3 linked regions of the Arabidopsis thaliana genome follow. The protein of the gene in region 3 purifies or fractionates together with the protein of the main gene of each other region. This does not show direct contact. Each region holds a gene or a part of one and is shown on either strand. Other genes may lie near its edges.

Region 1 (4,108 bases), about 16 Mb from region 3:
TTGCTCAGATCTTAAACGACATAACCGGAAACTTGGATGCTAAAAAAGCCTGTACTGGTGCAATGAAACTTCACAAGAAGTATCTTAAAAAGGTTTGCTTTATACTCTTATGAGTTTGTGTATGATCCTTCTTTAGCTATCTTATAACTCTCTGATTGTTCTGTTTTTGGTATTTCAGGCCAAGAAATAGCATTGCAGAAGATTCACGAGTAGTAGCGTTTTTGTATGTTTTTATACATATTTGATAACTCACAAAACCGGCGACAAAAAAGTGACTAACGATTCCTTGGGTGGCAAGAATTCTGAAGAAAAGAGCCCAATTTACACAACAACTTCTCGTTGTAAACTGTTCATACAAATCCACACATTTTGTAATATTTGTTTCACAAACCAAAACAAAAAAAAAGCACACAAAAGAATTATCATCGATGTCATTTCTAAACTCATTGTTGCACTTCTAAGTCGGATTATATATGTAAATAAGGATGGAGTATTTGAATTCCAGGTCAGACATCAGTATATATATATATATATATATGTTCATAAAAGAAATGTAAAAACTTTTTTCTTTCTATTTCACAGTTTTCCTCTGTTCTCTGAATCTAAAATCATAAAACTCTTCGTTCTTTCATCAGCAGAGAAACTATAGACATTGAATAGCTCTATCTATACATAATTTCTTCAAGGATAAGAATCAGAATTGAAGACAAGAATCCGACATCCAACACTAATCTCATCCCTCAAATTTAGACAGATTTTGTATTGCCAACGACAACGAGAAAGCTGCTTGTACTAGAGCCATAAAGAAGGAGAAGAACGAGAACATACGCATTACGAATGAACGGATACGATATTTTACACAGAAGTTCAGAAGAGAGAAACAAAGACACCAGAAAAGTTCAAGACATATTAAACACCTAAACTCCTTTTATTGCACTCCTTCAACATCCGAAGGATCAAGGGAAACTTTTCTTAACGTTAAAACCTTTTGATTTTAAGCATCTACGGTTTCAGCTGAATCTGCTGCGGCTAAGACCAGCTCCGGGCTTAGGTTTCCAACGAGAGTTCCGTCAATAGCATTCGGTAGCCCCAAAGCCTTAAGAGCAAGTTGTCCCGCCTTTTGTCCCGATATCATCATAGCACCAAAAGTTGGTCCCTACATCACCACAAACTAACTCAGGACATGATCTAACGAAAACTATGGATACCAAATCAAACATATATAGGTCAAGAATACTCACCATTCTCGGTGCACCATCGATCTCAGCAACTTCCATACCGGTAACAATCATACCAGGAACAACCTCTCTGGTCAACCTCACAATAGCGTCCTCAGCAGTGTTCATGTCCAAAGCTTTCATCCCAGGAACATGATCAATCATCCCAATACTCTTCAACCTCTTAACACCAGTAGCTCCAAAAGGACCATCATGACCACAAGAGCTAACCACAATCTTCGCTTCCATAACATTAGGGTCCATACACGATTGTGTGTGGTGGTTCTGAGCCACAAGAGCCCAGTTAGTCACCACACCACCAACTCTGTTTCCTTTCACAATCAAATCCTCAGCAGCCACAGCGTTGAAGAGCTTCACATTAGGACGAGCCAAAAGCTTGCTCATGATGGTTGATGTGAACAGAGCCGCGTGCTTAACCACAACGTAGGTGTCTTGCTCATCGTAAGCCACACCAATCTCGTCAAGGAACAAGTGAGCTGGTTTGCGAACAATCTACCATAAGCACAAGCAATCAATACTCATAATGATTCAATCTAAACCCTAATTCTCCATTAAAACAGAAACAGAACTCAAAACTTCAACAAAATCACACATGCAAATGAATCTAAATCTTACCATGGCGGAGAAAAGCTGACCACCGAGCCAAGCACCACCACCAGGACTAACAGATTGCTCAATAATGGCAACTTGAACATTAGGGTTCTTACTGATCTCATAAGCAGCAGATAAACCAGCAGATCCAGCACCAACGACGACGACATCAGTCTCAGCATAAGTGATCATATCCGTCATGTACCTTCTCGTCATCTCACGTGACACGATCGATTCCTTGATCGGGTCGAACGTGAAAGCGTTCAAGTCGTAACCAGCGGTTGTGGCGCGAACGGAGAAAGATCGTGGTTTGAGACCGATGGAGATAGGAGCTGCGGAGATGGCTGAGCCATGGAAGGAAGAATCGAAAAGTCTCTGAGGTTTGGTTGAAGAAAGAGAGAGAGTAGAAGCTATGGCAGCCATTTTTGTTTTTCTTTAGGGTTCGAGTTTAGTGATGCTGATGGTGAAGTGAAGAGTGGTTGTTGAGTATTTAAATTAGAAGAAGAAGAAAATCTGAAGATTGATGGCCACGTCAGAGATAAGGAATGAAGGGTTAGAGAATTTTTGATCTTTTTTTGTTATTTTAATTGTTTTTTGTATTATTAATATTTATCGTGATTATTTTAATTTTTAGCCATCAATGGAAAGTAACGATCTCCTTTCTTCACGGTTCTGATTGAATGAAGAAAAGACACTTCTCTTGAACAAGCCCAAATTTAGTAAAACCATCTCCAATGACTATGTCTATTTTTTTTTATTTTTTTTTTGGTCAAAAACTATCTCTATTTTTTTCCCCCATTTATGAAAGAAAAATACTTATATTATACATTGATTAAATGTATAAAATTAATGGCGAATTGATTACTGTTATAACTTCAAAGAATTGACTGAATCGGATTGCTCTATTTCTTGAAGAAAAGGGAAAAAACTTTGCAATTAATATTGTGATATGGATCAAAATAAATGTATAAAAAAATATCTCGAAGCTTTTATCTGGGAACATCTGTAGCCAGTTGCAGTGAGTGTGTGGTGACACGAACAACAAGAAGGTGAAATATCTTTGTACGATAGAGACGGCATTTGGACTTTACTAGTGACAGAGACAGTTCATTTATCATTATTTGTGTGCTTATGAATTATTATTACTAGTGAGAAGATACATCAGCCTTTTTGATCATTGAACTTTTTTGTGGTCCAAACTAAAACCTGCAATTTGGTATACTTGGAAAGTATCGACCGTATAAACTTCCGGTTGGTCCTTATATAATTTTAAAACTATGAACCATTGTAGAGAAAAATTATAACAAGTTAGAGCAGAATTATCTTAACAAACTGATATTATAAGATAAGTAAGATGTGAAACAGAGTAACACGAAAACAGGGGAAGAAGTATGGTGAACATAAGCCATTAAAATTCGAATACCAAACAGAAGAAGAACACTAGGAAGAAGACGATTTTGATGAATCAAACCCGAAATTCGCAACAAGAGATGAAAGAAAAAGATATGGTTTTATTAATAATATGATCCACTAGATAGCTTAGAAACCATGGATCTTGATGTTATCCTTCTTCACCAAACCAGCCTGTGATTACAGAGAAACAGTGAGATCAGACAATCATCTTACACAGTTTGTATGTTTTAGCAGTAAAGAGACTCGTAGAGTTATTGATATTTACCTGGACAAGGAATGTGGAGACGTTCTTACGTTGGTCACCTTGAAGCTGTATAACCTACAAATCAACACAAACCATAAACAAAACTAAAACAGAGAAGCTCAAATGTTCAGATAAGAGGCCAAATCATTCTGGTTTGTTCAAGCAGGCACTAACGACAGAAATATTATCATCCACTTTCCACTACATGGATCAATAGAGTGTTTTGATAAAACCTACCTGTCCGAGTTCTGAATCCTGAACCACAGTGCCGTTGCAGCAAAACTCTTTCTTGAGGTCCTTAAGTATCTTGGTATAGCTGTACTCTTTCTTCAGGCCCTGGACGGTTGTCAAGCTTTTCCTACCATTTCGCTGCTGGACACGGATATGAACGTATTCTTTTGTTCCGGCACCTGAGTCCTCAACATTCGCATCAGCAAACGGATCTGAAACAAGCAACAGCAAATTGAGAGAGATAAACAGATTCCCATGTAAGATAAACAGCATAATCAAACAAAAAATGATGCTTTGATTAACATGTATTTACAAATGATAACATGTTCAAGTATCTAAAACAAGTAGAAGAAGATCAGTGACTAATACAATCTCAAGTTTTGGTAGAGTA
Region 2 (3,702 bases), on a different chromosome or scaffold from region 3:
CTAAGGGTGGGTTGATAACCCACAGCAGAAGGCATTCTACCCAATAAGGCGGATACCTCGGATCCTGCTTGTACGAAACGGAAGATATTGTCGATAAATAGAAGTACGTCTTGCTCATTAACATCTCGGAAATATTCTGCCATAGTTAAGGCAGTCAGACCAACTCTCATACGAGCTCCTGGCGGTTCATTCATCTGACCATAAACTAGGGCCACTTTGGATTCCGCAAGATTTTGTTCATTAATGACTCCAGATTCTTTCATTTCCATGTAAAGATCATTTCCTTCACGAGTCCGTTCGCCTACTCCACCAAATACGGATACACCACCATGAGCTTTAGCAATGTTGTTGATCAATTCCATAATTAGTACTGTTTTACCCACGCCAGCCCCACCGAATAGTCCAATTTTTCCCCCACGACGATAAGGGGCCAAAAGATCTACTACTTTAATTCCTGTTTCAAAAATCGATAATTTTGTATCTAATTCTATAAAAGCAGGCGCGGATTTATGGATAGGAGATGTTGTGCGAGTATCGACAGGACCTAAATTATCAACGGGTTCCCCAAGCACGTTGAAAATTCGTCCTAGAGTCGCTCCGCCGACTGGAACACTTAGAGGATTTCCCATATCAACCACGTCCATTCCTCTCTTTAAACCCTCTGTCGCACTCATAGCTACAGCTCTAACTCGATTATTTCCTAATAATTGCTGTACTTCACAAGTCACATTAATTTCTTGACCAAGAGTATCTCGACCCTTAACCACCAGAGCATTGTAAATATTAGGCATTTTGCCCGGGGGGAAGGCTACATCCAGTACCGGACCAATGATTTGGGCGATACGTCCCAGGTTTTTTTTTTCACGTATCGAAACCTCTGGATTTGAAGTAGTAGGATTTGTTCTCATAATAAAAAAAATATGTTAAATTTTGTTACGAATTTTTTCGAATACAGAAAAAATCTTCGATAGCAAATTAATCGGTTAATTCAATAAAAAGTGGGAGTAAGCACTCGATTTCGTTGGTCCCACCCAAGCGGATGTGGAATTCAATTTTTTATTCATTCAATGAAGGAATAGTCATTTTCAAGCTCAACTAACTGAAACCTAGTTTTAAAATAAAAAATATATGAATAAAAAAATTTTTTGCGGAAAGTCTTTTATTTTTTTATCATAATAGGAATAGGCAAGCCTTTGTTTTATCTAGCGAATTCGAAACGGAACTTTAGTTATGATTCATTATTTCGATCTCATTAGCCTTTTTTTTCGTATTTTCATTTTAGCATATCCGGTTATGCGTCCCATTTATTCATCCCTTTAGCAACCCCCCCTTGTTTTTCATTTTCATGGATGAATTCCGCATATTGTCATATCTAGGATTTACATATACAACAGATATTACTGTCAAGAGTGATTTTATTAATATTTTAATTTTAATATTAAATATTTGGATTTATAAAAAGTCAAAGATTCAAAACTTGAAAAAGAAGTATTAGGTTGCGCTATACATATGAAAGAATATACAATAATGATGTATTTGGCGAATCAAATATCATGGTCTAATAAAGAATAATTCTGATTAGTTGATAATTTTGTGAAAGATTCCTGTGAAAAAGGTTAATTAAATCTATTCCTAATTTATGTCGAGTAGACCTTGTTGTTTTGTTTTATTGCAAGAATTCTAAATTCATGACTTGTAGGGAGGGACTTATGTCACCACAAACAGAGACTAAAGCAAGTGTTGGGTTCAAAGCTGGTGTTAAAGAGTATAAATTGACTTACTATACTCCTGAATATGAAACCAAGGATACTGATATCTTGGCAGCATTCCGAGTAACTCCTCAACCTGGAGTTCCACCTGAAGAAGCAGGGGCTGCGGTAGCTGCTGAATCTTCTACTGGTACATGGACAACTGTGTGGACCGATGGGCTTACCAGCCTTGATCGTTACAAAGGACGATGCTACCACATCGAGCCCGTTCCAGGAGAAGAAACTCAATTTATTGCGTATGTAGCTTATCCCTTAGACCTTTTTGAAGAAGGTTCGGTTACTAACATGTTTACCTCGATTGTGGGTAATGTATTTGGGTTCAAAGCCCTGGCTGCTCTACGTCTAGAGGATCTGCGAATCCCTCCTGCTTATACTAAAACTTTCCAAGGACCACCTCATGGTATCCAAGTTGAAAGAGATAAATTGAACAAGTATGGACGTCCCCTATTAGGATGTACTATTAAACCAAAATTGGGGTTATCCGCGAAAAACTATGGTAGAGCAGTTTATGAATGTCTACGTGGTGGACTTGATTTTACCAAAGATGATGAGAATGTGAACTCCCAACCATTTATGCGTTGGAGAGACCGTTTCTTATTTTGTGCCGAAGCTATTTATAAATCACAGGCTGAAACAGGTGAAATCAAAGGGCATTATTTGAATGCTACTGCGGGTACATGCGAAGAAATGATCAAAAGAGCTGTATTTGCCAGAGAATTGGGAGTTCCTATCGTAATGCATGACTACTTAACAGGGGGATTCACCGCAAATACTAGTTTGTCTCATTATTGCCGAGATAATGGCCTACTTCTTCACATCCACCGTGCAATGCACGCTGTTATTGATAGACAGAAGAATCATGGTATGCACTTCCGTGTACTAGCTAAAGCTTTACGTCTATCTGGTGGAGATCATATTCACGCGGGTACAGTAGTAGGTAAACTTGAAGGAGACAGGGAGTCAACTTTGGGCTTTGTTGATTTACTGCGCGATGATTATGTTGAAAAAGATCGAAGCCGCGGTATCTTTTTCACTCAAGATTGGGTCTCACTACCTGGTGTTCTGCCTGTGGCTTCAGGGGGTATTCACGTTTGGCATATGCCTGCTTTGACCGAGATCTTTGGAGATGATTCTGTACTACAATTCGGTGGAGGAACTTTAGGCCACCCTTGGGGAAATGCACCGGGTGCCGTAGCCAACCGAGTAGCTCTGGAAGCATGTGTACAAGCTCGTAATGAGGGACGTGATCTTGCAGTCGAGGGTAATGAAATTATCCGTGAAGCTTGCAAATGGAGTCCTGAACTAGCTGCTGCTTGTGAAGTATGGAAAGAGATCACATTTAACTTCCCAACCATCGATAAATTAGATGGCCAAGAGTAGATGAATTAGATTTAGTAATTCACGTTTGTTTTATTAGTTTAATTGCACTCGGCTCAATCTTTTTTTTACTAAAAAAGATTGAGCCGAGGTTATCTGTTGTATATACTATTTTTTTTGATAGATACATACTTAAATTTAGATAGAAAAAAAACTCTTCAATAAAAAAAAGAAGATTAAACACAACTACAATTTTGTTATTGTAGTGTTGTGTCCACAAGAAATCCTATACGAAACATGGATTCTTAATTCTTAGGAGTGTTATATTCTTTCGTGTCAGGGCTTGAACCAAGTATCCCCGCTTCTTCTACCCCATCCTGCATGTTGTCCTTTTCTTTTCATTCCGTATTGGAATAAAAAAAGTTTTTTTTTATATTAGTATACGAGATTTTACTAAAAAAGTTCTTAATATTCTTATATTCATAAGCGAAGAACAAATATTTCTTTTTTTTTTATGAGAATTTTACACAATATAAGAAAATCCTTCTTTTCATTTAGAATTAAAATTGATTCATTTCAATTACTTTACTTAATAATCTTAGCAATTGCATCGATA
Region 3 (4,488 bases):
CGTCTACAATTTTCTTAGGTCTAAAAAAAAGAGTCAAACTAATCTCAAAAACGATTCTCTACAAAATCAATCAATCTCAGAAGTCTTCTCTCTCTCTCTCTATCCTCAAACAAAGTATGGCCCTTTATCCTTTCTTCATCTCAATCTTCATCTTCTCTTTGACCCTCTTCACTACGACGACCCATTCCCTCAACGAACCCGACCCGGATTCGATTTCCACCGTTTACGAACTCCTCCCAAAGTACGGTCTCCCAAGCGGTCTCTTACCGGACACCGTCACCGATTTCACCCTCTCCGACGATGGCCGATTCGTCGTTCACTTGCCCAATTCCTGTGAGATTGAATTTGACTACCTCGTTCACTACGATAAGACCATATCTGGTCGTATCGGTTACGGTTCAATCACCGAGCTCAAGGGTATTCAGGTGAAGAAATTCTTTATTTGGCTCGATGTCGATGAGATCAAGGTCGATCTTCCACCTTCTGATTCAATCTACTTCAAAGTTGGCTTTATCAATAAGAAGCTTGATATTGACCAGTTTAAGACTATACATTCTTGTCACGATAATGGTGTCTCTGGCTCTTGTGGAGATTCATGGAAGAGTTTTCTCGAGGTAAAGATTAGATCTTTGCGTTTTTGGGGCCGTAAATTTGGTTGATATGATTGAAGATATTTCTGGGCTTTAAGGGTTCTTGAGGATTTATAGGAGATACTGATAGATTCTGGAATCTCTGAGTTTCTGGGTTCAAGTTGCACTGACCATTGTTGGATTTGTAGATTGTTTCTTCATTTCATTAGGCATTGATTATGGGTAAATGCGTGGGTACATATAATATATATCTGTTGAATGCAATTTACACATTGACTGAGGAACAACATGAACATGGCAGCTTTCTCAAAATTGAACCACAGAAGGCTTAAAAGCAAAGTCTTTGGAGAATCAGACTAAGCTTGAGAAAGGGTTGAAATTTATCTATCTAAGACTTGTGAAAAGAAACTGTATTTAATGCTTTCACATTGCTGGTTTTTGAGGGACATACATCATTGAAAGTTGAAACTGATAGTAGCAGAGTTTTTTCCTCTGTTTGGTTCTCTTTTGTTCTTTTAGTTCGTAGTGATAGCTTAATGCGTAGCTGAGAAAAGTGGAATGCTGTTTGTTTATAATACTAAAGTAGGTCATTCTGCATTTCTTGCAATGTCAGTTGTACAAGCCTCTAGCAAATGTTTTCCGATCTTTGATGGTTTTTGTCTGGTTCTTGAAATGGTCATTGCCTTAGATCCTTTCAAACCAGCCAACTCGCGAAAGTGATTCAGGCTGGTTTGTAGGGAATTGGTGGTACCTGCAATTAACAGAAGCTTTTGTTTTTCTCAGAAAGGGCAAGGAATGATGGATGAAGCGGAAATGTTAATCACCGAGTAAAACACTCTTGGCAGTCACAGAGTCTGCGACAACACGCAGATAGAGTTGAGTCTCTAAGTCATGTTTGTACATATACATACAATAACTAGACAAGTCTTTTCTGTAAGACTTGGTATGAAATGTCGATATATCCATTATGTACGTCTTGTTAAAACTGGTTTCCACGAAAATGTTGTATCTCATGACTAAATGTCCCCGAGTTCGTTCCTCACCACCATAGTTAGACTGTGTGGCCGTTAAGCTCCTTACTACTAGTTGTTGTATCATGTATGGCATAACGAATGGAAGATGCATTCTAAGAGCTGATAGGTTGTTTCATATATTACATTAGAAGGTGATCTGCTTGAGAACTTGATCTGTTTGACTCTTACCAGATTATACTAAGAATACATTCAAGTTCGGAATGATCTGCTTGAGAACTTGATCATTCTCGGTGACCGTAAGGGTTTTAGTGGCTGTGATGAAGGAAAGGGCTGAGCACAAGCCTTGATGTACATTGATGTCCTTGTTGATGTGATAGTGGAATGGTTTTGAACTACTGATTCGAGAGTCATGGTGGCTGAGATATGCCGAACAAGATGGCCGAGAGTCTTATAGCAAACTTATTTTCTCCATTGGTAACCAAAAAAATCCGGCCTTTGATTATGCCTTGGATTCATAAGCATTTTAGACCGATGCCCGAACTCGTGATTTTGAAGACTTTCTCGTGATTCTGCAATTCTCCCATGTTTTTTCTAACTTACAAGCTGCAAGACGACAAGAAATACACCTTATTTTAGGGAGGCGTCCACGTAAACCCGAAAGCCCACCCGGTGCTTTTCTTGTTTGTCTTTGCCTTTGCCTCTGCTTGCTAGGAAAAATAAATAAATATCACAAGTCCCTGATTTTGACTGGCTAAGATTCAACGGCCATTTTCCATCTTACAGACCCAATTCTTGTTTTCTGTTTTGCTATAACAAACCAGGGTCAGGGTTTTATCTTCCATATTCTTTTCCCACTGATTCTTACAATCGATCTAAGGGAATCTACGAACTGTTTGGTAATTTCTGGTGGGAAAAGTCTTGATCTTGCTGTTTGGTTTGGAGTAATGGTGAGTGCTTGGTTTGTTGTTGGCTCACCGGTGATGGACTCTTCGAGCAGTCCATGTTTATGTCTGGATGCTCACACGACGGGTACCATCAGGAGGAAGAAGATCCTTGGCAAAGCAAGAAATCTGGAATTAGGAAGCTCTTTCACTGGCTCACGCATTGTTTTTAGGCTTTCTCCGAAGCGTGTATCGAGAATTGCGAATCGAAAGAGCAAAAAGCTCTTGATTGTGAATGAGGATGTTGCTGGTAATTACGACGATACCTTCGGTGATGTACAAAAGGTGAGAGAACTTTTGCATGAACCCTTGTTTTCATAGACAAAGATTTGACCTTTGGCAATAACCTTATTATGGATGGCTGGCTTTCGATTTTGTAGCAAATTGTTAATTATTTTACATACAAAGCTGTGAGGACGGTTCTTCATCAGCTGTACGAAATGAATCCTCCTCAATACACTTGGTTCTATAAGTAAGTTTCTTATGCTTTATCATTTGATTAAAGTTCTGTATAGGATTAGATTTAACAAAAACACTTTACTCCGATCATTTTTGCCTTGTGGTCTTAATTATGTTTCTCCTTTGTTGTAAAACAGTCATATCATAACAAACAGACCGACGGATGGCAAACGTTTCCTCCGTGCCCTCGGCAAGGTAAACAAGTTTAGTTTATATCTCACATGAACAAGCATCATCTGTAAGATGCATTAGGTCTAGTTGAACAAGTTCAGCTGGTATACTATAACTAGCCGAGGACTGAATGTAGCAGATTGTAGCTGTGGTGAGTTGGTTAATGAGCAGTTAGTGAGGGCTGAAGTTTATAAGACTTGTCTCTGATTTGGTGTATTGCAACAGAGATAGCAGTTCCATAGATTTGTTCTTATTACAATCACACTGTGTTGTGATAAATTATGTTTGATTCAACCTTGTTTAGAGCTTGGTATTTAAACACAGACAATTGAGTTTGATTTTTTTTGTCTTAACTACTTGTAGGAGAGTCAGGAGCTTGCAGAAAGAGTGATGATCACGCGTCTTCACTTGTATGGCAAATGGATCAAGGTAAAATCGCTTGCTATATCTCGCTCCAGTTTTGGTTTATGTGTTTTTCCCTTCCTGCCATGGGAACCAGAAAAGACTCAAAAGTTAATATTGTATAGTTTGTTGTGTAGAAATGCGACCATGGGAAGATATACCAGGAAATATCGGATGAAAACTTGGCGTTGATGCGTGAACGCCTGATGGAGACCGTGATATGGCCTTCCGATGACACAAACTCAAGGTAATAGGCTGAAGAAGACAGCGCACACCACAGCACAACATTTGCTTTGTCAATTTGCTTCTCAGTTTTTAGGACTTCGAGTTTTTTAGTTTGATTACATATTACTATAGTGAAAGAGCAGTGTGTATATGATGTCTATTCTTGGCATGTACTATATGATATTAGGGGCAAAAAACAACACCCTTCTTGTGCTCCTAAACTTACTTTCTCAGTCATCTCTTACGCTCACACCACTCACATTAACATTGGTAGGCTCAAAATGATAATCACAATGCCAATCTTCTCATTTTGCAAATAAAGAAAAGAAAATAATAAAAATTGATTACTAGTTTTGAGTATTGACAACCTTTATAAGCAAGCAACAACAGGCTTGAATGCAATGACGTGGTCATGATTAAGGAAAACAGCGGTTGGTCCAAATCGTAACACTTGTCCTCGTAACAACTTCAAAACCTGGTTTGACTTATATTACAGTCCTCACTCATCACGGAACCACGCCGAAAATTCATGGCGAAGACTAGCATTTTTGCAGCTCTACCCTTTACCAACTTCGAATTCCCGTCGCTGTTCCGTGTCAAGAACTCTTCGATTATCAGTTTCAGCGAAACCCATTTTCTCCGACAATCAATTTCGACCGCAATCGTAAGATCTCCGACTAAGAGGGGAATTGTGTCCGTCTCATGTTCTTCCGTCACGGACGAAGC

Evidence for each region.
Region 1: the proteins of RbcX2 (region 3) and THI1 purify together in Arabidopsis thaliana (affinity purification with mass spectrometry, with the first as the bait; one study listed by BioGRID). This does not show direct contact.
Region 2: the proteins of RbcX2 (region 3) and rbcL purify together in Arabidopsis thaliana (affinity purification with mass spectrometry, with the first as the bait; one study listed by BioGRID). This does not show direct contact.

The regions. Positions count from the first base shown.
Region 1 is NC_003076.8:22,244,778-22,248,885, reverse strand, and holds THI1 (thiazole biosynthetic enzyme, chloroplast (ARA6) (THI1) (THI4)), read right to left. Parts: upstream 2,368-4,108; 5' UTR 2,253-2,367; coding exon 1,854-2,252; intron 1,731-1,853; coding exon 1,242-1,730; intron 1,157-1,241; coding exon 995-1,156; 3' UTR 554-994; downstream 1-553. Other genes in the region: AT5G54780 (Ypt/Rab-GAP domain of gyp1p superfamily protein), read left to right, coding at 9-92, 179-190; AT5G54760 (Translation initiation factor SUI1 family protein), read right to left, coding at 3,369-3,413, 3,508-3,561, 3,724-3,929. UniProt on the Arabidopsis thaliana protein: Involved in biosynthesis of the thiamine precursor thiazole. Catalyzes the conversion of NAD and glycine to adenosine diphosphate 5-(2-hydroxyethyl)-4-methylthiazole-2-carboxylic acid (ADT), an adenylated thiazole intermediate.
Region 2 is NC_000932.1:53,249-56,950, forward strand, and holds rbcL (ribulose-1,5-bisphosphate carboxylase/oxygenase large subunit), read left to right. Parts: upstream 1-1,709; coding exon 1,710-3,149; downstream 3,150-3,702. Other genes in the region: atpB (ATP synthase CF1 beta subunit), read right to left, coding at 1-908. UniProt on the Arabidopsis thaliana protein: RuBisCO catalyzes two reactions: the carboxylation of D-ribulose 1,5-bisphosphate, the primary event in carbon dioxide fixation, as well as the oxidative fragmentation of the pentose substrate in the photorespiration process.
Region 3 is NC_003076.8:6,711,466-6,715,953, reverse strand, and holds RbcX2 (Chaperonin-like RbcX protein), read left to right. Parts: upstream 1-2,016; 5' UTR 2,017-2,508; coding exon 2,509-2,790; intron 2,791-2,885; coding exon 2,886-2,977; intron 2,978-3,101; coding exon 3,102-3,159; coding exon of another isoform or gene 3,160-3,189; exon of another isoform or gene 3,190-3,498; coding exon 3,499-3,564; intron 3,565-3,674; coding exon 3,675-3,788; 3' UTR 3,789-3,982; downstream 3,983-4,488. Other genes in the region: AT5G19860 (transmembrane protein, putative (Protein of unknown function, DUF538)), read left to right, coding at 117-614, 1,374-1,421; AT5G19850 (alpha/beta-Hydrolases superfamily protein), read left to right, coding at 4,292-4,488. UniProt on the Arabidopsis thaliana protein: Chaperone involved in RuBisCO assembly process.